Elephas maximus indicus: one gene and its partners. The protein of the gene in region 4 interacts with the protein of the main gene of each other region in a pairwise test. Links are inferred from orthologs where the notes say so. Each region holds a gene or a part of one and is shown on either strand. Other genes may lie near its edges. The genes, in order: KXD1, EXOC7, NUP54 and IFT20.

The links.
Region 1: the proteins of IFT20 (region 4) and KXD1 interact in binary tests that used the Homo sapiens proteins (3 or more experiments, as listed by UniProt). The two-hybrid records come from large-scale screens. The link is inferred for Elephas maximus indicus from reciprocal best matches to the Homo sapiens genes IFT20 and KXD1.
Region 2: the proteins of IFT20 (region 4) and EXOC7 interact in binary tests that used the Homo sapiens proteins (3 or more experiments, as listed by UniProt). The two-hybrid records come from large-scale screens. The link is inferred for Elephas maximus indicus from reciprocal best matches to the Homo sapiens genes IFT20 and EXOC7.
Region 3: the proteins of IFT20 (region 4) and NUP54 interact in binary tests that used the Homo sapiens proteins (3 or more experiments, as listed by UniProt). The two-hybrid records come from large-scale screens. The link is inferred for Elephas maximus indicus from reciprocal best matches to the Homo sapiens genes IFT20 and NUP54.

The regions. Positions count from the first base shown.
Region 1 is NC_064821.1:38,493,105-38,499,964, reverse strand, and holds the start of KXD1 (kxDL motif-containing protein 1), read right to left. Parts: upstream 3,021-6,860; 5' UTR 2,976-3,020; coding exon 2,934-2,975; intron 2,908-2,933; exon of another isoform or gene 2,722-2,907; intron 1-2,721.
Region 2 is NC_064837.1:66,346,765-66,354,056, forward strand, and holds the start of EXOC7 (exocyst complex component 7), read right to left. Parts: upstream 3,009-7,292; 5' UTR 2,937-3,008; coding exon 2,877-2,936; intron 2,667-2,876; coding exon 2,601-2,666; intron 1-2,600. UniProt on the Homo sapiens protein: Component of the exocyst complex involved in the docking of exocytic vesicles with fusion sites on the plasma membrane.
Region 3 is NC_064823.1:81,130,304-81,137,495, reverse strand, and holds the start of NUP54 (nucleoporin p54), read right to left. Parts: upstream 3,009-7,192; 5' UTR 2,947-3,008; coding exon 2,880-2,946; intron 1-2,879. UniProt on the Homo sapiens protein: Component of the nuclear pore complex, a complex required for the trafficking across the nuclear membrane.
Region 4 is NC_064837.1:23,671,427-23,679,344, reverse strand, and holds the start of IFT20 (intraflagellar transport protein 20 homolog), read right to left. Parts: upstream 3,010-7,918; 5' UTR 2,845-3,009; intron 1-2,844. Other genes in the region: TNFAIP1 (BTB/POZ domain-containing adapter for CUL3-mediated RhoA degradation protein 2), read left to right, coding at 6,917-7,121, 7,731-7,900. UniProt on the Homo sapiens protein: Part of intraflagellar transport (IFT) particles involved in ciliary process assembly. May play a role in the trafficking of ciliary membrane proteins from the Golgi complex to the cilium.

The DNA of each region.
Region 1 (6,860 bases), on a different chromosome or scaffold from region 4:
ACTTAACACAGCCCTTGACCTGTGTTACAGCTCTTTGAGGAGGTCCCTCACCTCCTTTCTCTCTCTGCTGCTTCTCTCTTCTTGCCTTTTCTCCTTTCCACTTCTTCCTTCTTTCTGTCTGCCAACCTTTGTGGAATTGTCTGCACATATAAGCAAACTCCTGGTCAATTTCAAAGTATGGCCCTCCCACCAGAGCCATGAACTGACCAATCCCCTCCTGGTAGACCACAAACCGTAAACACTTCTTCTCTGTAAATATACTGACCAATCCCTGCAAGGTGCACACTAATTACAGGGCAGGCTACAGCCCAGGGCCAAAACAAAAAGTCAAGTTGTTTATAAGTCAAGTTTGGGAAATGTCCATCAACCTGGACAAAATTAACAAACCCTCTGGGGAAGAAAACTAGGGCAAAGGTAACTCCTCGAGCCTTAGGAAAAAGCTCTCAAGCTATTTTTCCAAGAACCAAGGCAAAAGGCCACACAAAAGAACTCATTTCACCAGAAGTCTACAGGTGAGGCAGTGATGTTTCAGTGGTAGAATAGAACCTTCGCCTTCCATGTGAGAGACCTGGGTTTGATTCCCAGCCAATTCACCTCATGAGCAGCTACCACCTGTCTGCCAGTGGTGGGTTGCATGTTGCTATGATGCTGAACGTATTTCAGTGTAGCTGCCAGACTTAAGATAAAGTCCCTGGATGGTGCAAATGGTTTGCACTTGACTACTAACCTAATGGTTGGCGTTTCACTACTACCCAGTAGCACCATAGAAGAAAACCCTGGCAATCTGCTTCTATAAAGATTACAGCCAAGAAAACCCTATGAAGCAGTTCTACTCTGTCACTTGGGGCTACGATTAGTCAGAATCAACTTGACAGCAACGGGCTTGCCTTTTTTTTTTTTAGGTTACCTGACTAAGACAGACTAGGAAGAAAGGCCTGGCAATTGACATCCAAAAATCAGCCAGTGAAAACCCTATGGATCACAAGGGTCTTACTGTAACTGATCATTGAGATGGTGCAGGACTGGGCGGCATTTTGTTGTGTTGTGCATGAAGTCACCATGAGTTGGAGCCAACTCAACAACAGCTAACAAGATCCACACACAGGATCATGAAGGGCCTTCAGAGCCTACTTAACCCACACTCCCATTTCCTGAACAGCTGCTGTATACCAAGCACAGCACCAAGCTCACACACTGGAAACTGCTATCATCCTTATTTACAGATGAGAAAACTGAGGTTCAGAGAGACTGAGTCACAAACTCAAATGCCCAAGGTCTGCAGGTTCCACAAAGGGGTGAATCTGAGCAAGTGCTCAGTATCTGTCCATGGAGGAGCAGTTGCTTCTTACAGCAGCTGATTTCTCACAGACTTCTGATTTTTTTTTCCAAGTAGAAACAGAAATCGAGATTTTTTTTTTCACGTGAAATTGCCTCATTTACAAATGCTAGCAACCAGTTTGGTTTTTTCCCCCAAAATATGCTGGAGGCCAAAGAGTAGCTACTGGTATCCTGAACCTGGCTACCAATTTGCATCCCTGTACACTTTCCAGGAAGGTCCCTGGGAGGTGCAAAAGGTTCGTGTTCGACTACGAACTCAAAGGTTGGCAGTTAGAACCTACCCAGCAGTGCCATGGAAGAAAGGCCTGGTAATCTGCTGCCCTAAAGATGACAACCATTGAAAAACCTATGAAGCTCAGTTTTACTCTGTAACATATACAGGGTTACCAAGAGTCTGAATCAACTCCATAGCAACAGGTTTGGTTTTTCCTTTTTCTTTTTGGTTTTATGCCTTCCAGGAGCAACTGCCGCAGCTGTCAAAGCCCTCCCCTCTTCCAATAATTGCTGTTTTTTGAGCTCCTACTGCACCAGGCGTGAACACCTGTGGTCTCAGTATTTCCAAGGAAGCATGGTGACCCATGGTATGAAGACGGCATTTGGGCTTAAAGAGCAGGGTAACATGGTAGGAGGCCCACAGCTAGCACTTGGCAGACACAGGTGCTGCAGGAAATGGTCCACTTCAAAGCAGGACTTTTGCCTGTCTCTGGCTCCCACGTGTGAGGCCTGAGGAGTTCATGCCCCTCTCCAGCTGCCTGTCTTAGGAAGTCCTCTCTGACTAGCGGAGCAGAAAAAAACCCAGCAGGGGATCTCTCTCCTCCCTTCCCTGCTCTAAACATATTATGGATGGGAGAAACCGGCATTGGAAAGTTTGTGTGACCTTGGGCAAGTCACCTCACCTCTCTGTTTTCTCACCCAGAAAACGAGAATAATGATGAGTGAGGGTGTCACATCGCTGTCTGATCGCTGTCTGTGAAGACTGGGGACAATGGAGATTAGAGAGGGGTCAGAGGATGCTGATTCTCCAGCGGGGTTTTGGAGACGTCCTGGGGCGGGGCCCACAAGCTGGTATTTTAACGAGTGCTCCCCCGCCAAGTGCCAAGAATACGAGCAAACATTTGTACGGCGTTGCATATAATTCTCGATCACTTCTATGAGGCAGGGAATATTGTGCCTAAGGGAAACCTCGGTATCTTGCCCAAGGTCACATGTCAAGGCGCCGCGACTCCACCCAAGTCTTGGAGCAAAAGCGCCCGGACTTCGCGACCCGATCTCAGGACAACCCTCGAGTCGGACGAGGTTCGCACATCCCTCGCCCCCCACTACAAAGCAGGAAAACTTGGGCGAAAGCCCGGCAACTCCTGGCTTCAGGTGACAAAGCACAACCTGAACAGAAACGGCCCCAGCTTCCGCTCCTCGGATCGGGATCCGTCCTGCGGCGTCACTCGCGCACCCACTGCGCAGACAAGGAAACTGAGGCCTGTGCACGCAGGAGGGGGGTCCTGATGTGGCCAGCGGCGCGCCCCACCCCGCGGCAGCCCGAGGGCCGCGCCCGACCAGACCCAGCTTCCTCGACGCCCCGGAGCCCCCGTCCCCACCCCAGCCTCGGTCCAGCGGCGGCTGTGGCGGCACCTGCACATCTGGCGGTCTTGCTCTCGCTTCCGGGATGGCGTCCGCGCCGCCGCGACGACACCACGCACCGTGCGTGCGAGCGCGCAAGGCAGTGACGTGAACTTGGACTCCGTGCGTGCGTGCGTGCGTGTGAGGAGGTGCAACCGGAAGGGCGGGGCTTAGACGCAGCCACCCCCTTTCACCGGTGCGTCCGAATAAATAGCCAATCAAATAATCCTATTTGTGCCTGCGCTGCGCTCCGAGGAAGCCCGGAAGTGGGGAAACGTGAGAGACACTTCCTCCATTTTATGGATTGGTAGGCTGAATCTCTATCAGGGCTTCGAATGGGTTCAGTCATGGCAGACGAACTCTGAGTAGATATGTATGTTTACAATTTCGAAATCCTGTAATGAGAGACTTGGAAGAGGCATAGTGAGCCGTTTTAGGTGCCTCATGCTTAAGACTGAATTATCGGCAGAATTGTGGAGAGCGACAGGAGCTCTGGTGGCGAAGTGGTTAAAGCGACCAACTGCTAACCATAAGGTTGGTGGTTCGTAACCATCAGTGGCACCTGGGGAGAAAGATGTGGCAGTCTGCTTCAGTAGAGATTTACAGCCTTGGAAATCCTACGGGGTCACTATGAGTCAGAATCAATTCAAAGGCAGTGTGTTTGGTGGAGAGTGACACATTCAAAACAGCATGGTTGGCTGCCATCTTTGAGCTGGGCAGTGCTGTTTCTGGCTATGCTCAAAATCCCAGCGTCAAGAGATTCGGTTGCTACGCAACGTGTATGCTGCTCCTGCTTTTTAAGAGGGAGATTAAGTTTCCAGCAGGGCTTCAACCTGTAATTTTTACCATTCTGGGTATCATTCTGGTTCACCCAAATTCTAAAAATTTGGATCTGGTTCAGTTTCTCTTCATCAGCCATGACTTAACCTGGAAGAACCGTTTGGAAGCCCTGGTTCTGAAAAGCAGCAAGTACTGCCTTGAGGCCATACAATGTTCCAGTGGCCTTAGATACACCCAGACCCTGGTACCCTGCTTTCCAGACTAAGAATTAGCGTCACCTGGGTTCCAAAATCCCTGCTCCACCTTTGGAGACCTTTTGCAAGTGCAGGAACCCAGTCAAGAGCTTTCTTGGGATTTAGTTGTTGTGTCTTTTTAATCTCCTCCAGCCCATGCAGTTCTTCAGTCTCTCCTCATCTTTTGTGATATTAATACTTGTGAAGAGTACTGCTCAGTTTTGTAGAATGTCCCTCAACATCAGTTTGTCCCGTGTTTCCTCGTGATTAGATTGATGGTACATCTTTGGCAGAAATCCCACACAAGTGATGCTGTGTCCTTCTCAAGATTTTTTAGATTGCTATTTAAGGCATTGTCTCTCCATTTCTTTACTGTGAAGTTATTATGTTTTTCTTTACAAATAATAGGTATCTTATGGAAAGATACTTAGAGACCATGCAAATACCCTGTTTGTCGTATTTTCACCTGCAAATTTTAGCACCTCTCCATGGTCCTTGTGGCCACAATTATTAGTGGGGTATTTGCCTAATTGCGATCTTTCTAGTTATTGATTTGGTAATTCATTAGAATTCTACTGTTCATTCTCCACGTATTTATTGATGCAATTATTTATATCACTATAAACTCACTGTTATTTTATTCCATGGATAATAAAAAAGTTTTTTTAAATGGATAATAGCACATAATTATTCAGTGCTGTTTCTGCATCCTTTTGACACAAACCCATCATTCTCTGAGCATTTCCTTGCTTTCTGGCGCCACAAGATGTTCTAGGTTCTGGCACAATCCTTGAACCAGCCATTTGTCCTCGAGCCTGGTTCCATTTCTGTACGAATGGTATTTAGAAACCAAGTTCTGGATGCTGGATGTGCTCATTGCTACTGGGATGTCACTGTTTCTAGGCCCTCTCTGCAGTGAGAGGTAGGAGATAATAGCTGTATGTTGTTGTTAGCTGCTGTGGAGTTGGCTTTGACTCATAGCAATCCCATGTACAATAGAATGAAACATTACCTGGTCCTGTGCCATCTTCATGATTGCTGGTATGCTCAAGTCCATTGTTGTATCTGCTACATATCTTGAGTGTCCTCCAACCTAGAAGGCTTGTGTTTCAGCACTACAATGAACAATATTCAGTTGTGATTTATAAGGTTTTCATTGGCTAATTTTCAGAAGTAGATTGCCGGGTCTCTCTTACTAGCCTGTTAGTCAGGAAGCACCACCGAAACCTGAGAGATAAAAGGTGGTACAGGCCCCACCCCAGGGAAACGCCCTTTACCTTGGATCTGGGGTGGTGATTTGGGTAAGGGTGGTGTTACAATCCCACCCTAATCTTCTTTAACATAAAATTACAATCACAAAATGGAAGATAACCACAGAATACTGGGAATCATGGCCTAACCAAGTCAATACACACATTTTTGGGGGGACATAATTCAATTCATGACACCAGGTTAGATGCGTGAACCAAATGGGGCAAATAGTAATTGTTCAAGAAATGTTAATAACTCATTATTAGTTATTGAGATCCTCTGGTGTGCATATGTTATACATTATGCATGTAATCACTGTATCAGTTTTTTAACTGTAAGTTGTAGTGATCATGGTATCTACCTCTAAAGGGTGTCGAGAGCTTGGGAGATACGTATATAAGTCCTCAGGTACATGGAAGACTGTAAAATCCCTGAAATGGGACAGAGTTCTCATTCCAATTCTGTCACATTCAAGCTGGATGGGTTTGGGCTAGTGGCTTAACCTCCCTGTCATGGTTTAAACTGTGTTCCCCCAAAATATGTGGCACTTTGGTTAGGCCTTGATTCTCAGTGTTGTGTGGTTGTTCTCCATTTTGTGATTGTAATTTTATGTTAAGGATTAGAGTGGGATTGTAACACCCCTGCTAAGGTCACATGCCTGATCCAATGTAAAGGGAGTTTCCCTGGGGTGTGGCCTACACCACCTTTTATCTTACAAGAGATAAAAGGAAAGGAAAGCAAGCAGAGAGTTGGGAACCTCATCCCACCAAGAAAGCAGTGCCAGGAGCAGAGCACATCCTTTGGACCGAGGTTCCTTTGCAGAGAAGCTCCTAGACCAAGGAAAGATTGATGACACGCACCTTCCTCCAGAGTCCACAGAGAAAGCCTTCCCATGGAGCAGACGCCCTGAATTTGGACTTGTAGCTTACTAGCCTACTACTTGGCTTTGGTAAAGCCATCCACTTGTGGTATTTCTGTTATAGTAGCAGTAGATGACTAAGACAGTCCCCAAAGCTCGACGTCCTCGTTCATAAAGTGGGGATAATCATTGTACTAGCCTTGGAGGGAGGACTGTTATGCAATCATGCAGGTGAAGTACTCACCATAAGGGTTGGCATGCCATAAATCCTCAAAAATGGTTTGTTGTTGTGTGTGCCGTCAAGTCGATTTTGACTTATAGTGACCCTATAGTACAGAGTAGAACTGCCCCATAGGGTTTCCTAGGGTGAAATTTTTATGGAAGCAGAGCACCAGGTTTTTCTCCTGTGAGGTGGCTGGTGGGTTCAAACTGTTGACCTTTATGGTTAACAGTCAAGCATGTTAACCACTGTGCCACTAAGGCTCCTTTCAGTAAATGGTAGGTAATATTATTACTCCCACACTCCACTGCATCGTTTGTTGAAAAGTCAATGAGGACCAGTATTTTTATAGATTTAGTTCAACAAACCGTTTTGAAATTTGTTGATTAAGCCCTCCCATTGCTTCCTCTGGGTTTGGGCCATATGTTGGGGATCCAGAGAGCACTCTATTCCTGCCTAGCCCTAGAGGAGGAAGGGAGACAGAGGTAGACACAGACACCCCCAGCCCTGTGGGGATCACTACTGCGCTGGGAGTGAGCAGGACTCAAGGCTGGAGGAGCCT
Region 2 (7,292 bases), about 43 Mb from region 4:
CTGACTTGTTTTATTGTTGAATACAAATGCCGAGTCTACATCTACTCAAATTGCTCCTGTCCAGTCTTACCTAAGAATTCACGGAATACCAATTGAGATGCCTCAACGATTGGATGCAGCACTAGAAGTGTTCAGTTGTCTGTGCTAAGAAATTTGGAAAACAGCTGCCTTGCCAACCAACTGGAAGAGACCCATATTTGTACCCATTCCAAAGAAAGATGATCCAAAAGAACGCAGAAATTATCGAACAATATCATTAATACCACACGTAAGTAAAATTTTGCTGAAGATCATTCAAAAGCAGTACATCGATAGGGAACTGCCAAAAATTCAAGCTAGATTCAGAAGAGGGTGTGGAATCTCATTGGTGATGGAATATCAAGGGATATCATTGCTGATGTCAGATGGATCCTGTCTGAAAGCAGAGAATACCAAAAAGATGATTACCTGCGTTTTACCGACTATGCAAAGGCATTCGATTGTGTGGATCCTAACATATTATGGATAACATTATGAAGAATGGGAATTCCAGAACACTTATTTGTGCTCATGAGGAGCCTGTACATACATCAAGAGGCAGTCATTCAAACAGAACAAGTAGATACTATGCGGTTTAAAGACAGGAAAGGTGTGCATCAGGGTTGTATCCTTTCACCATACCTATTCGATCTGTTCACTGAGCAAATAATCCGAGAAGCTGGACAATATGAAGAACATGGCATCAGAACTGGAGAAAGATTCATTAACAAACTGTGATACGCAGATGACACAACCTTGCTTGATAAAAGTGAAGAGGACTTGAAGTACTTACTGATGAAAGTCAAAGACCACAGTCTTCGGTATGGATTACGCCTCAACATAAAGAAAACAAAATCCTCACAAGTGGACCAATAAACAACATCATAATAAACAGAGAAAACATTGAAGTTGTAAGAGATTTTATTTTACTTGGATCCACAATCAACGCCCTTGGAAGCAGCAGTCAAGAAATCAAACGATGTATTGCATCGGGCAAATGTGCTGCAAAAGATCTCTTTCAAGTATTAAAAAGCAAAGATGTCACTTTAAGGACTAAGGTGTGCCTGACAGAAGCCATGGTGTTTTCAATTGCCTCATATGCATGTGAAATCTGGACAATTAATAAGGGGGACTAAAAAAGAATTGATGCCTTTAAATTATGGTATTGGTGAAGAATATTAAATATACCTTGGACTGCCAGAAGACCGAACAAATCTGTCTCAGAAGAAGTACAGCCAGAAGGCTCATTAGAAGGAAGGATGGTAAGACTTCATCTTACATACTTCCGACATGTTATCAGGAGGGACCAGTCCCTGGAGAAGGATATCATGCTTGGTAAAGAGTCAGCGAAAAAGAGTAAGACCCTGAACCAGATGGATTGACACAGTGGCTGCAACAATGGGGTCAAGGCAAAAAAACGATTGTGAGGATGGTGCAGGACAGGGCAGTGTTTCATTCTGCTGTACATGGGGTCGCTATGAGTCGGAACCGACTTAATGGTACCTAACAACAGCAGTCTCACCTAGGAATAAAGACGGAAACTAGTATTTATTGAGCACCTGTTGTATACCAGGCACTGCGCAAGATGTGCTCCCATGCATTAGCTCATACACCCTTCACGCCACACTGAGAGGCTGGCACTGTCTCTGCTTTAGCAAACAAGCTGTTAGAAATTGAACTGTGTCCTCCTGATATGTGTTGGAACCCTAACCTCTATACCTATGGGTGTAATCCCATATGGAAATAGGGTTGTCTTTGTTATGTTATCTAAGTCATATCAATGTAGGGTTTGTCCTAAACCTAATTGCCTGAGTTATAAGCAGGAGCACAGACACAGAGACAAACAAGCACAAACGGGGAAAGATAGATGCCATGCAAAGATTGCCAAGAAAGAAAAAAGTCTGAGACAAGGATCTTCCCTGAGAGCTCAAAGAGAGCCTTCCCCTATAGCTGGTGCCCTAATTTTGGACTAGCCTCCTAAAGTGTGAGGAAATAATTTTATGCTCTTTAAAGCCACCCACTTGTAGTATTTCTGTCACAACAGCACTAGAAGACTAAGACACAAGTTAACTGAGGTGCAGATTTACCTGTGTAGAATCACACCGGTAAGCGGCAGGGCAGGGGCTAGATCCCAGATCTGTCCAACTTCAAAGCTCCTTCTACCCCTAATGTCCTCTGGAGTGAAAGCTGTGTCTTCTCTGGCCTAAGTAATCTCAAAATGCCATCCCTATAAGGGACTTTCTGTCACTTGAGTTGGAGGTGGCATATGACCAGTGACTAGCCCACCTAGTCCGTCTCACTAAATGTTTGCTGAAGGAGAGAAGGGAAAATGGAAAGCCTGGACAGAGAGCTTTAGAAAGTCCAGACTAGCGGGGACTGCAGGATCCTCCACACGGGTTAGAACATGGGGACGGGGGCTAGGTAAGTTAGATGCCATGTTACTGCCAGAGAACTCCACACGGTCCAACCATCGCCACCCATGCCAAAACCCCAGGCCTTGGGTGCCCAGGGAGCGCAGGGTCGCATCGCTCTCCTGTAGGGTAGGAGCCCCATCTGCCTCTCCCAGCTGAGGAGTAACTCACCATATTCTTGGTGAGCTGGTCGCTTTTCTCCAGGCTGTCTCTGATGAAGGACAGCGTCTCCTCTTCCTGGGGGAAGCGGAGGGAAGGACATGACCAGGAGCCAGAGACTAAAGAAGATCAGCGCGTCTGCGGCCCCTGTCTCGACCCCCGCCCCGACCCCATTTCCTCGCTAGGAGTGCCCCCTCCCACTTGCCTCCTCGGGGAGTAGATGCCCGGGCCCCAATCTCGGCCCCTTTCCCTCACCCCTTCCCCCGCTATGCCCAGCCCCAACCTCACCTGCTTCAACTTGTCCTCGATCTCCCGCCGCCGGGCGGAGGCCTCCTGCGGGGGGATCATCTCTCCAAACCCTGCGGACCCCAAGCCCCAGGATGGGGTCCCAGCGGTCCCGCTCGGCTCCCGTCCCTACCACACCCACTTCCGTTTTTGGCCCCGCCCCTGGGAGCGCTGGTTGCCATGTTGGGAGTGGCAGGCGGAAGTGCGCCTCCCGGGGCCCAGCAGAGCAAGTGGCCATCGCGAGTGTGGGTGGAAAGTTTGGCGTGCCTGGCGCACTGCAGTTTCCCGTCGGTGCGGATTCCTGCCTCGGTAGAGAAGGTTCCGGAACTGTGTTACGCTACCTGCGGCTGTCAGGACAGTTACAGGTCACTTGCCGGCCTTGCGAGAAGACCGACCGTTTTGACAGAGACCGTTGGGAAGGCGACGAATTCGCTTCCCCAATTGCATTCAGGGTCGAGGCGCCGACGTTGCGTTCCCTACAGAGCACAGCACAGAGCGTGTCACACAATAGACGCCTGCATGCGCATTTAATGAACCTGGGGGTGTAGTCGTTTCCCCTTGAGCGGGTCCTGAGCACAGTCCTAACTTGTGCACGGCCCAGCCAGGTACCTGGGGTGGCAGAGTCCTTGGGGCATCCATCCTGGGGCCTCGGAGCATGCTCCCCAAGCCGCACCTAGGTGCCTGGTTTGGAGAGAGCTATTTTATTTGCAGGGTGTGTGGACCACCCTGGTGGTAGAGAATTACTTCTGATAGAGCCTACTTCCAAAAAAATAAACCGTACTCATTTCCGCCGAGTTGACTCCAACTCATAGGTCTAGGAGAGCAGCAAGAGGAAGGCTGAAAGGCCCCAAGCCTGCTTGAGGGATTGCAGGGCAAGCGCACTGTTACCAGCTAGGGAGAGAGAGGCCTGCCTGCAGGTGTTTAGACGGGCAGGGAGCATGGCTCACAGGAGCTCTGGGGAAATCAGATGGGCTTGGGAGGCTGACAGGACCCCCTCTTCAGAGCTCCAAACCAAAAAAACCAAACCTGTTGCCTTCCAGTCGACTCTGATGACCCATAGTGACCCTATAGAACAGAGTAAAACTGTCCCATAGAGTTTCCAAGGCTGTAAATCTTTCTCCCCTGGAGTGGCTTGTGGGTTTGAACTCCAACCTTTCAGTTAGCACCCTAGCACTTAACCTCTCTGAGCCTCTGAACAGCACTAACCCATGGTAGATGCTCAAGAAAAATAACATCTTGCTTTCTAGGTTTGAGGAAGGGTATCCTCTCTGATTGCGAGCAAACATTTTAAAGTTTGTACAATGCTATTGCATTTTTGTAAATAAACTACGTATGTGTGTGATTTTCTGTAGTCTCAATTTCCTTCAAAGTCCAAGTATATAATTTGGTAGCCAACTACCATTTACTGAGAGCCTTCTGTTTGCCCGCCTCTGATACAGATAACTGTCCTAGTGTTATCTAATCCTCATAATAAACCTGTGAGTCTGGTGCCACTCTTGTCTTCCTTGTGCAGATGAGGAAGCTCAGGCTTGGAGATGTAAGCTGTACAAAGTCCACCTGGCCAGCCAGAGCAGGTAAAGCCCTGGCTGTGTTCCTCTACCTCACCATGCTGAATAGCTCAAGAGTCTCATTTGTGATCATGAAAAGCTGCCAATCTGGTTTTTAAGAAAATCTACTGTGAAAAGCAGGTTATATTTATGACAACCACATGAACTAAAAGGTAGACAAAATGAAAACCAAAACAACCAAACCTGTTGCCATCAAATCGATTCCAACTCATGGTGGCTCCATGTGTTACAGAGTAGAACTATACTTCATGGAGTTTTCTTGGCTATAATTTTGACAGAAGCAGATCGCCAGGCTTTCTTCCACAACACTGCTGGGTGGGTTCAAACTGCCAACCTTTCAGTTATTAGTCGAGCACAAATTCTGGGCCAACCAAGGACCTGACAGAATGGCAAGATGAGTTTAAATTATTCTCAACCCAATGAAAACGTGTGTTGATAAGCAGACATTGATTCCATAAAAGCTATAATTCCCCAACTATCTTCAGCACAAGCTGCTTTAGCAAAAGGAGCAAACTGCAGCTGCAGCCTCAGAAGCCTTTGACTTCATCCATAAGCTTGTGCAGAACACATAGGTGCCAATCATAGCCAAGCCCCCCACTGCTAGCTCACAGGTAGGTGGGGAGGTGGAACAGAGAATGGACGGCAGGCCAGCAGGAAAGCAGGAAGGCAGTGTATTCTTTAGGTCCTCAGAGAGGCTGGGATGTCACTTGGGGCACCATGCCCAGTTGAGTGATGGAAGCAGGGAGAGGGGCCTCTGCCAGGAAGAAGGGCCAATTCCTGAATCTCACAGACAAGAGGTGGAGCAGAGGAGTGGTTGGGGGAGCCCGAATGAGGGCAGATCAAAGGCAGCCATGGGGCCACTTGTCATCGCAGTTGACTGCTCTTGGTTTCCAAGAAAGGACTCATACACAAGCAAGAGACAAGTCAGGTCAGCACAGCTGATGGCGTCACCTTGAGCAAACAGAAGATGTCAGCCCGCCTCCTAAAGCCTGTCTCCCCAGCTCCCTTGGCCCAACCCAGAGCGGGTGTCCGATATGTCTGTGATGAACAAATAAACTAATGAGTGCATGAGGGTCAAGGCCATAAGTGTGAGGGAGGAGCAGGGGCATGGGAGGAGGACCAAAGGGGAGAGGTGAACTCATGGATACACGTCGAGAGTGAGGGCACGACGGGAAGGAGGTTGGGGTGTGCTTTCTGAGGTAATCACCAAGTGGACAAGGGTGAACTCTCTCTAAATTGAGGATCACAGCAACAGCGTCAGGACCAGCAGAAATACCCATACCAAAAGATGTGGCTGAGAAGACTCTGCGTCCCTTCCTGCCCCTCTCTACCAGGGACCAGCATCCCCTGCCTCCCATCCCCACTTCTCATCTTATTCAGGGTAGGTCCCAGGAGAGGTCTGTGAGGCCAACGGGATTCTGGCTTTGAGGTTAGGAACCGTGGATATATGTTCCCATGGGAGTATGTCACGTGATGCCTAGTTCTAGTGCCATGGAAGGCATAGAGTGAAAGAGAAACAGTTGAGGTATGAGGTCAGATAGGCCTCCACTGACCAAAGGCCTGCTACCTACTAGTTGTGTGACTTCAGCCAAGGGAGGGCCTCTTTGAATAATAGACCACGTGTTATGGATTGAACTGTGTCCCCCAAAAATGTGTGTCAATTGGCTAGGCCATGATTCCCAGTATTATGTGATTGTCCACCATTTTGTCACCTGATGTGTTTGTCTTATGTGTTGCAAATCCTAACTCTATGATGCTAATGAAGTAGGGTTAGCAGCAGTTATATTGGTGAGGGAGAACTCAATCTACAAGATTAGGTTGTATCTTGGATCAATCTCTTTTGAGATATAAAGGAGAGACTCCACCAAAGAGACAGGGGGACCTCATACCACCAAGAAAGAACCTGAAGAGGAGTGCGTTTTTTGGACCCAGGGTCCCTGCACTGAGAAGCTCCTAGACCAGGGGAAGACTGATGACAAGTATCTTTCCCCAGAGCTGACAGAGGGAAAAAGCGTTCCCCTGGAGCTGGCACCCTGAATTTGGGTTTCTAGCCTCCTGGACTGTGAGAGAATAAATTTCTCTTTGTTAAAGCCACCTACTCGTTGTATGTCTGTTATAGCAGCACCAGATAACTAAAACACCGAGTGTTCCAAAAGACCCCACCTTAAAGGATTTCAGGTAAATTAAGTGACATAACCTACATAAAGGGCCTGGCACATAGTAGGTGCTCAAGAAATGTTAGCCAGCACCTGCCTGGCCCTCATGGTCTTTCCAGCTGGAGTTCAAGTATATTACGAAGTAAACAGACTGTGCAGTGAATTTGGAAGCCTATTGCTTAGAACTGTGTTTTGATTCCAAACAGTTAACTTATCCAGAACCTTTGGAGTCCTCACCTCACCTGCCCCAAGACAGTCCTGAGCCCCTGATAGCATCCCGAGCTGCCCATGGGATCATTCTTGAAGGTCAAGGAAACCATAATCACCAGGCAGTGCGTGCCGAGCGCTGGATGGCTTATTAAAAGAACACAGGCCATAAGGCACTGGCTGAGGGGACACGGGAGTGACATTCCCCACATTTTACCACTCAGGAGGAAAGCCTGGGGTATGTGTATACAGAGCCAGTGGCATCTGAGTATCAGCACGTACCTGGCACCTCGCTGAGCCTTTACAATGGTTTTCTCCAGTAAACTGCACAACAATCTTATGGGGTAGCATTGTTGTCCTTACAGGGAAACTGAGGCACAGAGACATGTCTAGAAAGTGCCAGAGCTAAGCCTGGAAAGCAGATGCTCCATTTCCTCAGTCGTGATGTTGCATGCTCTTGCAGGCTGGCTCACACAAAAAAGTCAGAA
Region 3 (7,192 bases), on a different chromosome or scaffold from region 4:
GCGCCGTGGTTAAGAACTTGGTAACCAAAGTCGGCAGTTGAAATCCACCAGCCACTCTTTGGAAACCCTACAGGACAGTTCTACTCTGCCCTATAGGGTCTCTATGAGTCGAAATCAACTCAACGGCAATGGGTTTGGTTTTTGGTTAACTTGAATTGCATATATTTCTGGTACGCAGGACAAAGATGTATCAATACAGTAACATAAATCTCTTTGATAGTAGATCATATAATTCTGATGTGTAAAATTAATCAAAAGTAAACTGCATGTTGTATGCTGCAGTTGTTGTCAGTTGCTGTCGAGTCAATTCCAACTCATAGCAACCCCATGTGTGCAGGGTACAACTGTTCCATAGGGTTTCCAAGGCTGCAGCCTTTTGGAAGCAGATTGCCAGGACTTACTTCTGAGGTGCCTCTGTGTGGGTTTGAACTGCTAACCTTTCTGCTAACAGTCCAGTGCTTAACCATTCGTGCCACCCAGGAACACCTATATTGTATGCAAGCATAGCCAAACACTCTCTTTACTTGTAGGTTCTACTGCAGTACAGCAAACTGTAAATATTTTAATAAAAATCACCTAAAGTACTAAACACTGATCTTAGTCTTTTTCATTACTCCTCACACCCATTTAATAACTACGATATACTCTGAATTGGCTCCACAAAAAAAACTAGTCAATATCTTATCATGCTCCACAATACCAAGAATATTTATTAGTAACAATGACTCTGCAATGATACAAAATAAAAAAAGCAAACAAGAATTTCTATCAGCCCTTTGCTGAAGGCTACGTTAACTAACATAAATGTAGTTAAAACAGTTACATTATCAGAACTCAAAACTTAACAGTGATAACACTAAATAAACAATGAAATCAAACAAATACAAACACGTTTATTATTGCTGAATTATGAGCTGGGTGGCTTTATTTGGAAACAAAATAATGTGTTACCCAGTGCCAATTTTAAGCAAACAAAGAAAAGTAAACATACCAAGACAATAACATGTAATGATGTCAAATATATCTTAGATAATGGATTCTTTTATCTTTAGAATTTTCAAATATTCTTCAAACTGTTTTCAGATGCTAAGGTGATATTTACAGTGCAGTAATAAGTAAATGCTCAAAATACCAGACTTCCCAAATAAGTTTTAGGGAATAAATAATGCTTACCAGATGCATATAATTGGCACGGGCCTAAGCGGCATAATGTAACAGATACAGACACTAAATTCATATACGAGCAGCTGAAAAAGAAGATTTTTCTATAGGGTCATTTTATGTAAAGTACACATAAGCCTATTCTAAATTTATATATATATATCCATTACAGTCAGTGTTTTGCAAAATTTTTAACTAGCTTCGAATAATTCATTTAAATACCAAAATCTTCAAAACTATGACAGAATGCAAAAATGTCTATCCTACCTTTTAGAAATCGATGCTGTCTGACAATAAAGAAAATTGCTCTCTCAGGTCATTTCCCAAAAAACCAGTAAAGAATTGGGGTTCTTTCTACAATTGTGTATTTTATAGAAATCATGTACCCTAATCTGCTGAGTTGACCAAAGAAATACATTATTTACCAGTTAAAAAACAAGAGAGTTACTGCTGTTCGTATAAGACTTGTTTCTCTTGGGAAACACAAGGACGATCAAATAAAATCTCAATGAAAGATGTAGGGAAAATGAAAAATGAGTGCAGGAGTCCAAGAACCCCAAGAAAATGGGCCTGATCAGTGAGGTTACATTTTTGGAAGGGAAAGCTAATAATCTGGAAGATATATTCTATTCAAAATAATATCCCATTCCAAAGTCTTATCATTTGGAAGCTGTATTTTGTTCAATTAAATGCAAATTTAGCAAGGGAACATTATGATTTGCAAGACTTCCGAGAACCACATCTTTTAGGACAGTCAAAACCTGAAACGAATGTTTTTAATTCAACATTGGGAAATGAATTTCCTTTCCTTATTAGACAACTCACTATTCTTTCTCACACTCTAGGAATCCCGAAATATTATTCTTGGACTCCGGCTTCCAACACTCATTACACATACGGCCCGCAGTATCTACCTGCACTCGCCAGACTGTTACCAAAATTGAACGGAGTTGCCGAGGTTGTGGAAACACCGAAATTCCCAATATTAAAGTTCACTGCAGGATTAGCAGTTAATCCGAAACCCCCAAAATTAAACCCACTGGCGGTGGAGTTGGCAGTCTCAAGCCCACCAAATCCTGATAGGCGTGTAGGCAAAGAAACAAAAAATTAAATTAAAAAAGGGGGAGAGGAGAGAAAAAGAAAAGAAAGCAAGATAAGGATTAGAAGAATCAGCAAGAAGTTTTACAGACAAACCTGACTTTCTCCAAACAAGAAAGCAGAATAGGTAGGAACAGGTGAAAGGAGGAGCCAGTAACCAGGGTCCACGGGGCCAGGAGGAAGGGTCCCGCCCCTGCAGGGCGCGGACGGAGCGAGCTGCGGGGCAGCGCCTTGGTCTCCCCAGGCCCTATCCTCCCGCCAGGCGCCTGGGCTGAGGCGGGAGGAGAAGGCGTGTCCCGGGCAAGGGGGTAAGCGAGCCCCTCGAGTGTCCGCGAGGCCGTTTCCCCGGCGGCGGGAAACCAACCCCGGGAAGACAGGGCCCGGCGGGGCCCACGCGTGGCGCGCGAGCTCTGGGTTGAGCCTCTGGCCCCCGAGCCCTCCTCTGGAGCCTTCCTGGCCCGCTCCGCCGCCGCCGCCCGCCCTCTTCCGATGTCCATAAAGTCTCCGCGCCGGCCGGAGATCCCAGAGTCTCCAGGCCGGGGACCGGCGGACTTAGAGGGCACAGGAAGGCCCAGAGGCCGACCCTTCTCCCGGACGGAAGGTCTGGGAGGATCACTCACCCGAGGGGGCCGCGGGGGCTGCAGCGGTGCCAGACGTGCCCGAGGGAGCCCCAAAGTTGAAGGCCATGTCGCGGAAGCAGTGGACCAAGGCGCCGCTCCTGGGACGCTCCGTGTGCTTGGCTTTTCCGTCCGGCAGGGAAACTGCGGCCCCGATAACCCAGTTCCGCTTCCTTTTTGGCCCAGCCTAAACCTAAAACCAAACTCGCTGCCCTTGAGTCAATTCCGACACATAGTGACGCTAGAGGACAGAGTAGAGCTGCCCCACAGGGTTTCCAAGGAGCACCTGGTGGATTCAAACTGAGGACCTTTTGGTTAGTAGCTGTGGCTCTTAACCACTACACCACCAGCGTAGAAGGTGGGAACGTGCCAAGGACCTGCGTAGAGGGTGAAGAGGAAACTCCGTGAGTCCAGCTTGCTTCCTGAGCGTTTTGTGTCATTGCGGGGCGCGGGTAGTCACAACAAAGGTAATACGCTAGGAAGCTTGAGAGGGAATGCTGCCTGAGAGCCCTTCAGATGTGCCTTAAGGACTTATCTTGGAAAGGTGTGCAGGGCCTGAAGTCATTATTGTAGAGGTAGGCAGTAGACACCTTGAATATACATGCCTTGGTGTTATCGTTGAAGATGTAGCCTTTTCGAAGAGCAGTCCTAGGAGGACCCAGGTTGGGGTTTAGGAGGTCCCCCCAACCCCGAGAAATGCTATTTGAACCCAGTCCTGAAAAATGAGTGGGCGAAGTAGAAGTAGGAAAGAGGTGACATGTAGGAAGAACAAAAGATAACAGTAATATTAACTGTAGGGTAATGCTATTCAGCGATATGCATCCCCTCCCTAATGGAGTCAGCTTTGCTCTTCCCTGAAGCATGCTGGGGATGAATTCGGGATGGACCTGGACTAAGGTAAAAGGCCAGGAGTGGCATGACTGGGCCAGCGGCCAAGGCCGAAGAATGCCTTAGCAACAAGAAGGAAAACATCTGGGCCTGGACGCTAAGTCCCTGGGAGCACTGACTGCACAAGGACGTGGTAGAAAACGATGAGACTTTGTCCCAGCTGGAATGGTATATAAGCTTGGGTCCCTTGCTAGGTGGTTGCAGAAAATATTCCATCCAGGCGCCACTGGAGAGAGCAGCTGCTTGCCTGTGTGAGTAAGTTTCCCTGAACATATGAATCTGGAAAGGGCTATGTGTCAGTTCTTCAGATTATCTGCCAGGATGCACAGTGAGGGTCTTTCCTTGCTGGGGCCATCCCCCGACATTAACAAACACTTATCTTGTGTTTCCTATGTGCCAGACACTCTTCTAATCATTTTACATCTTTTTAGTTTACTCCTCAATTACCCTGTGAAGTAAATTACTATTATCACCCCCATTTTATGGAAGAGGAAACAGCCACAAAGGGACACGCTGAATCCAGTCCGTGATGTTAATCAACAAGCTGTACCATGAGCACTGAACAGTGAAGGGTATATAACCTGCCCCTGTGAATGCTAGTAAATTTCTATTAGTCCTTAAACTAATGCAAGCCAGATTTGGTCTTCCCCACATGACCAGAAGGACCAGCTGTGACCACATAACTTCAGTAGAGGATGCAGCAACATGAGGAAAATCATCGCCTGGACCCTATTCTGAAGCCAGAGGTCCGACAAGAGTCACATCACCTGTTTCATGGCCACCTTCTAGAATTTTCCCTCTCTAGTACGCCCGTGCAGCTACCATCTTGCTGCCCAAATCACATATAAGCCCTGCTTCTCCGTAGCTTGGGGAGCTGGATCTAAGGAACTTCCTCTTGGCGCCTTGCTCTGCACATTGCAATAAAGTTACTTTCTCAAAGACCAGTGTGCAGATAATTCGCAAGTCTGAGCACAGCAGACAAGGCCCACCTTCTAGGGTTCAGAAATGGGGAGAATGTCCCCCAGATGAGACAATGAGCTTTCTAAATGCTAAAATCCGTGCCTTCAAATTTTATTTGCGGTAACATTTAATCCTGCTAATAACCCCGTAAGGAAGCTCTGTTATTAACCACATTTTGCAGGTAAAATGAGAGGACCGAGGTTTAGAGTTGCTTAGTGAAAGGAGGTGGAACCAACAGAATGCTATAGACAGAAGCACCATGCATCCCTCTGCAGCAAAGACCTGAAAAACTAAGTAAAGCAGATACAAATGTCAATCTTGGAGCCCCTAAGTACAAAATGAAGGAATAAAGAACTCGATCAAGCACCATATGGAATAAAAAACTGAGAGAGAACAGAATAGCAAGAGCTACGGAGTGGAGGTCCCATACCAGCTAATGTGGCGTGATTGACCATCTTGGGATATAGCTGCCAAAGGACTCAGACAGGAGTATGGGAAAGTAACTCCATGGAGCTCCCAGCAGGAGACAGAGCACCCAATAACCAGGGATACACGCTTTCCCACTCTCCATCCTTCCCAGTGTGGCATTCAGTGCTTTCCATCGGGCCATGGTTTCTCGGCAGGAGAGACACTAGCACACTGCTGCTGGGGTCCGTCCTGCCCCCACCAGCCGGCCCCTTCAGTGCCATTTTTTTTGTTGTTCATTTGTTTGTTTTTTGGTTTGTATTTTTGTTTTTTTATTTTGGGGGGGGCTTTTTTGTTATTTATTTGTTTTTAATATTGTTTGTGGGGGCTTTTTTTTTAATTGCTTTTCTCCCTCCCTTCCTTCCTTTCCTTTCTCCTGCCCAGCTAGCCCTGTGTGCCATCCCCTCCCCTTCTTGATGGGCTGTGGTTTGTCTGCTTTGTTTTTTTTTTCTTTTCTTTTCTTTTCTTCTGTTTCTTCTCTCCCTCCTTTCCTTCCTTTCTTTTTTTCCCACCCACCCAGTCCTGGGCACCACCCAAGCCTCTTCTGGAGGGGCCGTGCTACACAGCTCAGTTGGAGAGTAACTGTGCATGGCCTCCCCAAGTCTGCGCTGCTGTCACCAACTGGCTCCCTAAGCAGAATTTTATTTATCGTTTTGTTTGTTTTCTTTTTCTTTTTTGTTATTCTTTCTTCTCTCTCCCTTCCCTTCTTTTCTCCCATCCACCCAGCCCTGTGCACTACCTTCAACTTCTTGGTGGGCTGTGCTGTACCACTTGGTTGGAGAGCCTCTGGCACACAGCATTCCCACATCTGTGCTGCTCCAACAGGCCAGCTCCCTCAGCATCATATTTTTTATTTTTCTTTATCTTTCCTCTTCTCCTTTTCCTCCTCCCTCCAACCTAGGCCCTGCGTTGCCTATGTCCCTTCCTGAAAGGCCGTGCCGTGCCACCTGGCAAGAGAGAGATCAGCTTGCAGCCACCCCAATTCCGCCCTATCCCCAATGGCCACTGCCCCCACCACCACATTTTTTGGTTGCTGTTGTTTTTATTATTTATTTATTTTATTTGTTTGCTGGTTTCTTATCTTTCTTTCCCCTCTTTCCTTTTTCCACCCACCTAGCCCCATGCGCCACCCACACCTCTTCTTAACAGGCCAAGCCACACTGCTTGGCTAGAGAGCCACCAGTACATGGCCTCACCAGGTCAGCCTCACCCCCACCCACCGAATCCTACTGAACTGCCATTTAATTTTTTTTAACTTAATTTTTTTGCTTGTTTTTTATCTTTGTTTCTCTCTCTTCTTTCTCTTCTTTTACCCACCCACTTAGCTCTGCACATCACATCCTCTCCTTTCCCTCCTGCCTATTTGCACTGTGTGCTGAATGCCATGCCCCTGAGCAGTAATGACTCAGTCTCCCAGACCCTGCCCTGCACTGCTGTCATGTCCCCCCAAAAATATGTGTCAGCTTGGTTAGTCCATGATTCCCAGTATTGTGTGGTTGTCCTCCATTTTGTGATTGTAATTTTATGTTAGAGGATTAGGGTGGGATTGTAATACTACCACCCTTACTCAGGTCACCTCCCTGATCCAATGTAATGGGAGTTTCCCTGGGGTGTGGCCTGCACTAGCTTTTATCTCTCAAGAGATAAAAGGAAAGGGAAGCAAGCAGAGAGTTGAGGACCTCATACCACCAAGAAAGCAGTACTAGGAGCAGAGTGTATCCTTTGGACCTGGGGTCCCTGCACCTGAGAACCTCCTCAGCCAGGGCAAGATTGATGACAAGGAATCTTCCTCCAGAGCCGACAGAGAGAGAAAGCCTTCCCCTGAAGCTGACACCCTGAATTTGGACTTGTAACCTACTAGACTGTGAGAGAATAAATTTTGCTTTGTTAAAACCATTCACTTGTGGTATTTTTGTTATAGCAGCACTAGATAACTAAGACAGCTGCCCTCCAACCTCTTCCCGTCACCCCCAGTTCATGCTGCAAACTACCCATCCCCGCCC
Region 4 (7,918 bases):
CTATACTATAGGGTACTGTACACTTGCCTGAAGTAGAACCCAAATGTGGGTCATCCTGGCTAGCAGGAAACACAAAAAGGAATGAAGAATCAGCAAGAGTGTACCACAGAGGCGGCCAGGGAAAGGCATCCCAAGCAGAGAAAGCAGAGTGGACAAAGGTCTGAAGTCACCGAGAGGGCCTGTCCTGCCCAGAGGATAAAGGGAAAGAGGATGGAAAAGAAGCTGGGTTGGAGCCAAATCTGGATGAGACTGTACGCTAAGCTAAGGAGTTTGGATTTTTTTTTTTCTCTGTAGGCAACAGAGAACCAACAGAGATAGTGTCTGTCTTCCCAGGTCTCCTCACATTTTTGGCTAAAGGATGTGTCAATCATGGGAGAAGAAACACGTAAAACTCACCCTTGTTCTGGCTTAAGAAACAGGCAAAAAACGAACAGAAACAGTGCATGCCCTGTCTAGAAAAGGAGGCAATACTACTTAATTCTAGTCATTGCCTGCTATAAACCAAACCTGTTGCCGTCAAGTCAATTCTGACTTAGCAACCCTATAGGACCGAGTAGAACTGCCCCATAGAGTTTCCAAGGAGCACCTCATGGATTTGAACTGCTGACCCTTTGGTTAGCAGCCCTAGCTCTTACCCACTATGCCGCCAGGGTTTCCACTGGCTGCTATGCCAATTCCAAAAACCCAGGTATTCCAAAGGCTGCCATCACCTGCCCCTGCGACAGACCCTTCCCTCTGCTCCCACCTCCCCCAGCCTCACTGGGTTCCCTTCTAGCTTCCTGAGAGACGTTCTGTTCTGAAGGGGTGATTCTGATGGTGACTGCCGGGGGCAGGGGCTCCACAAGAGGAGCAACGGTTGGAAAAGAAAGCCCCACTGTTGCCAGCACTTCCGATTTTCAAGGGACCAGAAATACGGATTTTTATATGAAATCTGACTTTTAAGTGTTGGTGTCTAAAGTAAGGGGAAAAAAACAAAACCACACAACACTGTGTGGGCCAACTAATGTATGTCTATGGGCTGCTTGTGTATGACTCTGTCCCAGAGCCTTTGGCCTCACTAGAATCCACTGAAGTAAGTAAGGTAGCATCTTCCTTTGAAACATTTAATCATACCAAGATTACTTATAATCAGGCTTTTTAAAAAGATTTGTCTTCCTGGTTGTCCTGATACACTGCACCTCTTCCCCAGGGACTATGCATTCATTCAGAAATATCTACTGAGTCCTTGCTCTGGGGATCAAGTAGTGAACAAAATCCTTTAGCTACTGACCTCTGGACAGACAATAAACAAATAATCACAAATCATAATAACAATATGAGGAAAGTCACACAGAGCTATGTGAAGGTGTAGCAGGAGGACATAATTCATATGGGGAAAGGGTGTCAGCATAAGGCCTCTCCGAAAAAGCGAAACTTAAGCTGAGACCTAAGGATGTCCAAAAGTTTATCAAGTGAAGGGGAAAGGGAGGCAGTCCAGGCAGAAACAACAGCGTGTATGAAGATTTTGAGGCTGTAAGAAACCTGAGGCAGTCCAAGAACTGAAAGGCCACTGTGACTGAAACACCATGAGCAAGAGGAAGAGTGGACAGGATGAGGCTAGATAGCAAGGCTAGAGTTGGATCATGGAGGGCTGTGAAAGCCACAGTGATGAACTTGGATTTTATCTTAAGGGTAATGGGCAGCCAGGGGATTCTCAGCAAGGTGGCATAATCAGACTTGCATTTTAGAAATACAGTAAAACCTGCAAAAGCTGGAACCAATGTAAGGCAGAAACCTGTTAGAGAAGGAAAACTCAAATATTTTCCACTAAAATAAGCGATAAAAAAGTAGCAAGACTACACCCTTTCAAAGGCAGAGACCCAGAACAACAATGCAGTCCCGTCGAGTTCCGGCTTTCACAGGTTTCACTGTATAACTCTGGGTCAGGATGAAGAATGGATCGGGGAGAACAAGAGGGCGGGGCTGGCTACACCACCTTGTTCAAACCTGTAGCCCGAGCACATGGGGCCTTGACATAATTGGCACTCAGTAAATGTTTGTGGCATGAATGACTGTGGGAACAGGTAGTAGGCTATTACAGTAACCAAGGCTTGGAAATTACAAAAAGCGTTCTGATTTGAGATATTTTGTAAGTTGAGTCCATTGGACTTGGCAATGGATTGACTGAATGTGGTGGCTGGGAGGTGAATGAAGGAAAGAGGCGTGATTTCCAGGTCTCTATCTTGAGTCAACGGAATGGCTGGACGGGATAGTTAATGAGATGGATAAGACCAGAGAAGCAGTGTAGGGAGAGGGTTCACAGCCAACTACCAGATTCTCTCCTCACTCCTACCACACACGCCATGTCTGCATCTGGGGAACACAGGGTAAATAGCGGGGGCTGACTTCCCTCCAAATAGATGCTGTGACACTCTCTGTGCCCCCCTCACCCCTCTCCCCCCCCGTCCTCCCAGAGCCATGCTAGGCACAACAGTGAACACCATCCGTGGGGTGTGAAGGAAGGCGCACTGGGCAGAAAGTTTGGAAGACCTGGGCGATGGAGCTGGCTCTGTGCTAACTACGTAAACTCTTGGAACTTATCTGAACCAGTTTCCTCGTAAAATCACTGCGCGCATGAACGCGTAGGAAGCTCCTGGCCTAAGCCGGGTGTAAACACAACTCCCAAAGGAAAAAAAAAAAAAAGGAAAAAAAAGTCGGGCTGAATTCCCCCGTCACTTTTGGCCCGGGACAGCCTCCGGGCACGGGTCTGTCAAGTTCATCTCGCCCCGGGCCCGCCCGGCTCTGCCCCCAGCCTCGGGGGCACGAAGCCGAGCACGCATTCTTCGACCCGCAGTCATGGCCTACCTGCAGGCCCCGTAACGGTGGCGCGCTGCGGTCCAGGCTGATGTCTGCGGCACTTTCGCTCGCGGGTCAGCGGTACTCTGCCCACCTGCCGGCCTCGGCCGCTGCCACGGCTACAGGGCCTGTTTACCGGTGACGTCCCTACCTGACACCGGAAACACTTACAGCCGCCCACCCCCACAGAGCCTGCTGGGAAACGGAGGCCTGAGGGTAAGGATGACTGCCTACAAGACCCAGAGGCCTCTGCGCTGGCCGGGTTGCCGGAAGTAGCTGTGGTCTCACCGCAGAATACTCGGAGGGGCCGGCCCTCTACCCCGCGATACCGTGCTGGGCATGCCGGGCCTTGTAGTCTCGGGCTCCCCGACTGCAGGGCTGGGCCGCGGCTCCGGGCGGAGTCGGCGGGCGGAGGATGTGAGCTCACGCTCGGGGATTGCGGGCGGGCAGGCGGCCGCGGTCCAGGAGCCTGCTAGAGACCCAGCTGAGAGAAGGGAGCGGCGCCCCTGGGGAAGGTGAGAGCAGGGGCTGGAGCAGAGACGGGCCCGCTCGGTATTGGGGGAGAGGGGAGGGACGGCGTAGGAGAGATGGAGAGCTCAAATCCTCCTCTGGGGATGGGCGTCAGGACTGGTCTCGGTAGTGAGAAGGAGTACGGGCTGGGGAAGACTCCACAGTGGCTCCCATAGATGTTGGGGCTCGCTAAATTTCACCAGGACCCTTTGAATAAAGGCTAAGATTCACACCTAGGATTTCTCCTAAAGCCGTTGTCTCCTGCCAAGATTGGCTTTCCTCACCATCCCTTGTGTGACGAATTTCTTGCTCCTTATTCCTCAGGACCCCACCTTCTCCCACCGTATTCGCGGTGGCTGTTTATCCTTTATTCTGCTTGAATCCCTTAATCTTCACTGAGTGAGACACGGATACGCCTCTAGCCCGAAAAAAAAAAAAAAGGCGCCCCCAAATAATCCACACACAAAGTCCGGAAGGAAGAGCACTGAGGGTGTCGCAGGAAACTTCACCTCCCTGGAATTCCCTTCTGGGCGTTACCTGCCGCAGGATTCCTGGAATCCATTGGTTTGGGCGGCATCTGAACTGACGTCATTCATGGGCCCAAAGCAGTTGCTTTTGTAGGGAAGGGAATGGGTTAGCTCTGGACAAAGACTTTTGTCTTTCTCTGTTGACTAGTTTAGCTTTAGTGTTCCTTTGCTTTGGCAGAACATGTATGTGTACTTTCTTTGGTCCTGGGAACGCTGGGTCTAGACACAACAGACAATACAAGGGGAACTTATTAAAACTTGTTAAGGGGTGGGTTTATTTCTTTGGGTTGGGCTAGGGAAGTAAGGTGATCTCCTGCCATTTGTTACTTGCCGATTGGACAGATTGTGGGTGAGGGCCCAGCTCCTCAACGTCCCATCGCTGAGGCAAATTGAAGAGCCTCCCGGACCAACCCACAAAGGAATTCAGTACTTCATACAGCACCTGCTCTGGCCTGTCCTTGCACATTCTTCCCAGGGATCTACAGAAATCCTTTCTGGGACAGCTTAAGTCTTAACAAACCAACATATATTAAATACTTAAAATAGGCATGGCATCGTGCTAAGCATTGTTTGCAGAGCAAAACAGTAAACTGAAACCAGGGCACTGTTACCGGTTTGCATTTACAAGGAACGATGAGCAACTGTAAGCTGCATGTTGTGAGGATTAAATGAGGTAATTCCTCTTTTTCTGTCTCTGTTACTACAGTGGTAGTCCAAGCCATCATCATCTCTTACCTAGACTACTGCTTCCTCTGGTCTTCCCACTTCCTCTCTCACATTCTTACAATCCATTCTCTCCACAGGAGCCAAAATGATCTTTTCAGAACATAACCACATCATCTCACTCCCCTGCTTCAAACCCTCCTGTGGATTCCCATTGCAGTTAAAATCCAAACTCTCATGCCTGCCTTTCCTGATCTTACATTCAACCAACTTCCTTCTTTTTTCTGTGCATCAGCCATTTTAACCTTGTTTCTTTTTGTCCAACTTGTTTCTAGCTGAGAGGCTTTGCATTTATTCTTCTATCTGTCTGGAATGCTCTTTCAGATCTCAGCTTAAATGTCACCTTCCCGAAAAAGAGTTTCCTGGCCACTTATTTAAATTAGTGCTTTTCCCTTATCACTGTTTTATTATCTTTTTTGCATTTATCACCTTCTAAAATTGTCTGCTTATTTGTTAGTTTTTTGTTTATTGTCAGTTACACACACACACACACAAACACACACATGCAAACATGTAAGCTCCGCGAGGACATGACTTGTTTGTTCTCTTCTGTATTCATAGGCTTGGCTCATAGTAGGGGCACAATAAATGCTCTCATTTTATTCTTGCTGACATTATGATGCTTCTTGCAACTTCTTGAAGGAAATGACAATCTCTTCATCTTTCTGTCCCTGCTGCATAACATAAAAATACCAAACCAAACCCATTGCTGTCAAGTCAGTTCCAACTCTTAGCAACACTAAAGGACAGAGTAGAACTGCCCCATAGGGTTTCCAAGGAGCAGCTGGTAGATTTGAATTGCCTACCTTTTGGTTAGCAGCCCAGCTCTTAACCATTGTGCCACCAGGGCTCCACTGCAAAAGGTAGGATTTGTTATTGGTGGTGGTGGTTGTTTTTTTTTCCTAAGTTAATTAAATGGAGGCCTGGTGGCACAGTGGTTAAAGCACTCAGCTGCTAACCAAAAGGTCAGCAGTTCAAACCTATCAGCCACTCCGTGGAAGAAACATGTGGCAGTTTGCTTCCGTAAAGATTATAGCCTTTGAAACCCTATGGGGCGATTCTACTCTGTCCTATAGGGCCACTATGAGTTTGACTTGCACGACGGCAACAGGTTTGGTTTTAGGGTTTAATATGTATTAAATGCTTAGAATTATACCTGGCATATAGTAAACATGCAACAAATATTACCATTTTTCCTCCAGCGAATGAATTTTATTGATTTTTTAGAAAGCAAAAAAAAATGTATATATATATATATGTATATATATTATCTAAATCATAAGGGGTGACCTGGCTTTGCTCTCCTTTTCTTTCCTTGCTCCTCCCTCCTATGAACTCCTGTTAGAGTTTCAATTTCCAAGTCACGTAATTGTTTTTAGATTTATCTTCTGGTCTTTTGTGGCCCTTTTCTTGTTGAGAGGGAAGAGAGGGAAAGATAGGGCTGGGCCCCCTCTCAGGAAAAAAAAAGAAAACAGCCATCCTGTAGTTGATCTACCCTGAAAAACAGTGATAATTTCATGAACTTGGGATAAGACTGGTGTCAAGAAATGGGAAGGTCAGGAGCCCCCAGCAGGAGCCAGGGTACCTCTGCCAAGAGCAGTGTGCCAGCACCCTCCCACCTGCCTCACTGCCTTCTTTCTCTCCTAAAGCTGCTTTCACTTTCCTTCCTGGAACCAGACCCCAGGTGGCACTCAGACTAAGCACTGGTGCTGGCTGCTTCTGCTTATGGAATCTGGTAGGAAGGAAGTGCATCCTGTCCCTCTGGCTTCTGGAAAACTCCTAGGCAGGCTGCATTCCCAGTAGGTTTGGCTGGAAGTCGGAGATCCTGGGAACTCAGAATAACAGCAAGTCTGACTGGCAGATTCCACAGGATGAGGATCTCTGCTGTCAGTCTGTTCCTCAGACCCTCTCTGACCAGTTCCAAGGACTTGCTTTTCTTTCTTGCTGCCCAGAGCTGAGCTGAGTCTCCTGGAGGCTGACTCAACTCTCGCTTGGTGAGGTGACCAGAGCCAGGCTCTGAGAAACTGTGCTCCAAGCATGGTTCCTGGGACAGTAAAGAACATCAGGGAAGTCTTTCTTACTGTTGCCCAGGAAGTTGGCCTCTGCCAGGGAGTACTTGGACTGGTCAGTGTTTCTACTGTTGTCCCTTCTGGTTTGCAGGCTCTACTCTGCTGACTCCTGTCTTCTCTCACATCTTTTGCCCACAGAACTGAGAGTATGAGGCTCTGGTCTCCACTGGCCACTCACCCGTGACCCCTTCCACCACGGTGGAGCCTTCCAAGCCTACCTCCTGCCGTGTGGTAATCTACCTGCAGCGGGAGATGTCGGGGGATACCTGTCTGTGCCCAGCCTCAGGGGCCAAACCCAAGCTAAGCAGCTTCAAGGGTGGAAGCTTGGGCAACAAGTACGTCCAGCTCAATGTAGGTGGCTCCCTGTACTACACCACCGTGAGGGCACTAACTCGGCATGACACCATGCTCAAGGCCATGTTCAGTGGGCGCATGGAGGTGCTGACGGACAAAGAAGGTGAGGCATCAAGGCTTGTTGAGCGGGTGGAGAGAAAAGGAGGAGTTCCTGAAAAGTGACTTCGGGGCGGGGCTTAAGCCTGGCAGATCTAGAGTCTCAACTCACCTACCATAGGACTTCTTCACCTGGAGTCCTTTGTAAGCTTCAGAATCCTTTGAAATTGTATATAGAATGTTGTGCATTTATGCATTTTTCCAGGGAGAAGATCCATACTTGTTTTATAGTCCTAAGAACCATCGCAGTAGTGCCCAGGCAGTGGGCAGGAGAAAAGCAGGGCCTGATGGTTTCTGTGTTGCAAGAGGTGGGCCTAAGTGCTCCTGAGCTTGGACCTCTGGGGCTTCAGCAGAGCCTGGAGGGCTGTGTCTCCCACAGCAGGTGTCGGTTCTTGGTTGCAGGGTGGAGGGGTGAAGAGCAGCCATGAACCTGAGAGCTGGAAGTTCTGGTCCCACTTCTGTCACCACTGTGCCGTGGGCCCTATGTTCGTGTAACTCCTTTTCTTGCCACCTGCCACCAGATCCACCCAGTGACCTTTTGCCTCATGCTTGTTTCTGAGACACCTGGAGGAAAACAGTAATTCTCTGGGTCTTAAACTCTGGTCTGAATCCCTAGGCTGGATCCTCATAGATCGATGTGGAAAGCACTTTGGCACCATTTTGAATTACCTCCGAGATGACACCATCACTCTGCCTCAAAATCGGCAAGAGATCAGGGAACTGATGGCTGAAGCAAAGTATTACCTCATTCAGGGGCTGGTGAACATGTGCCAGAGTGCCCTGCAGGTACGGGGCAGAGCTGGA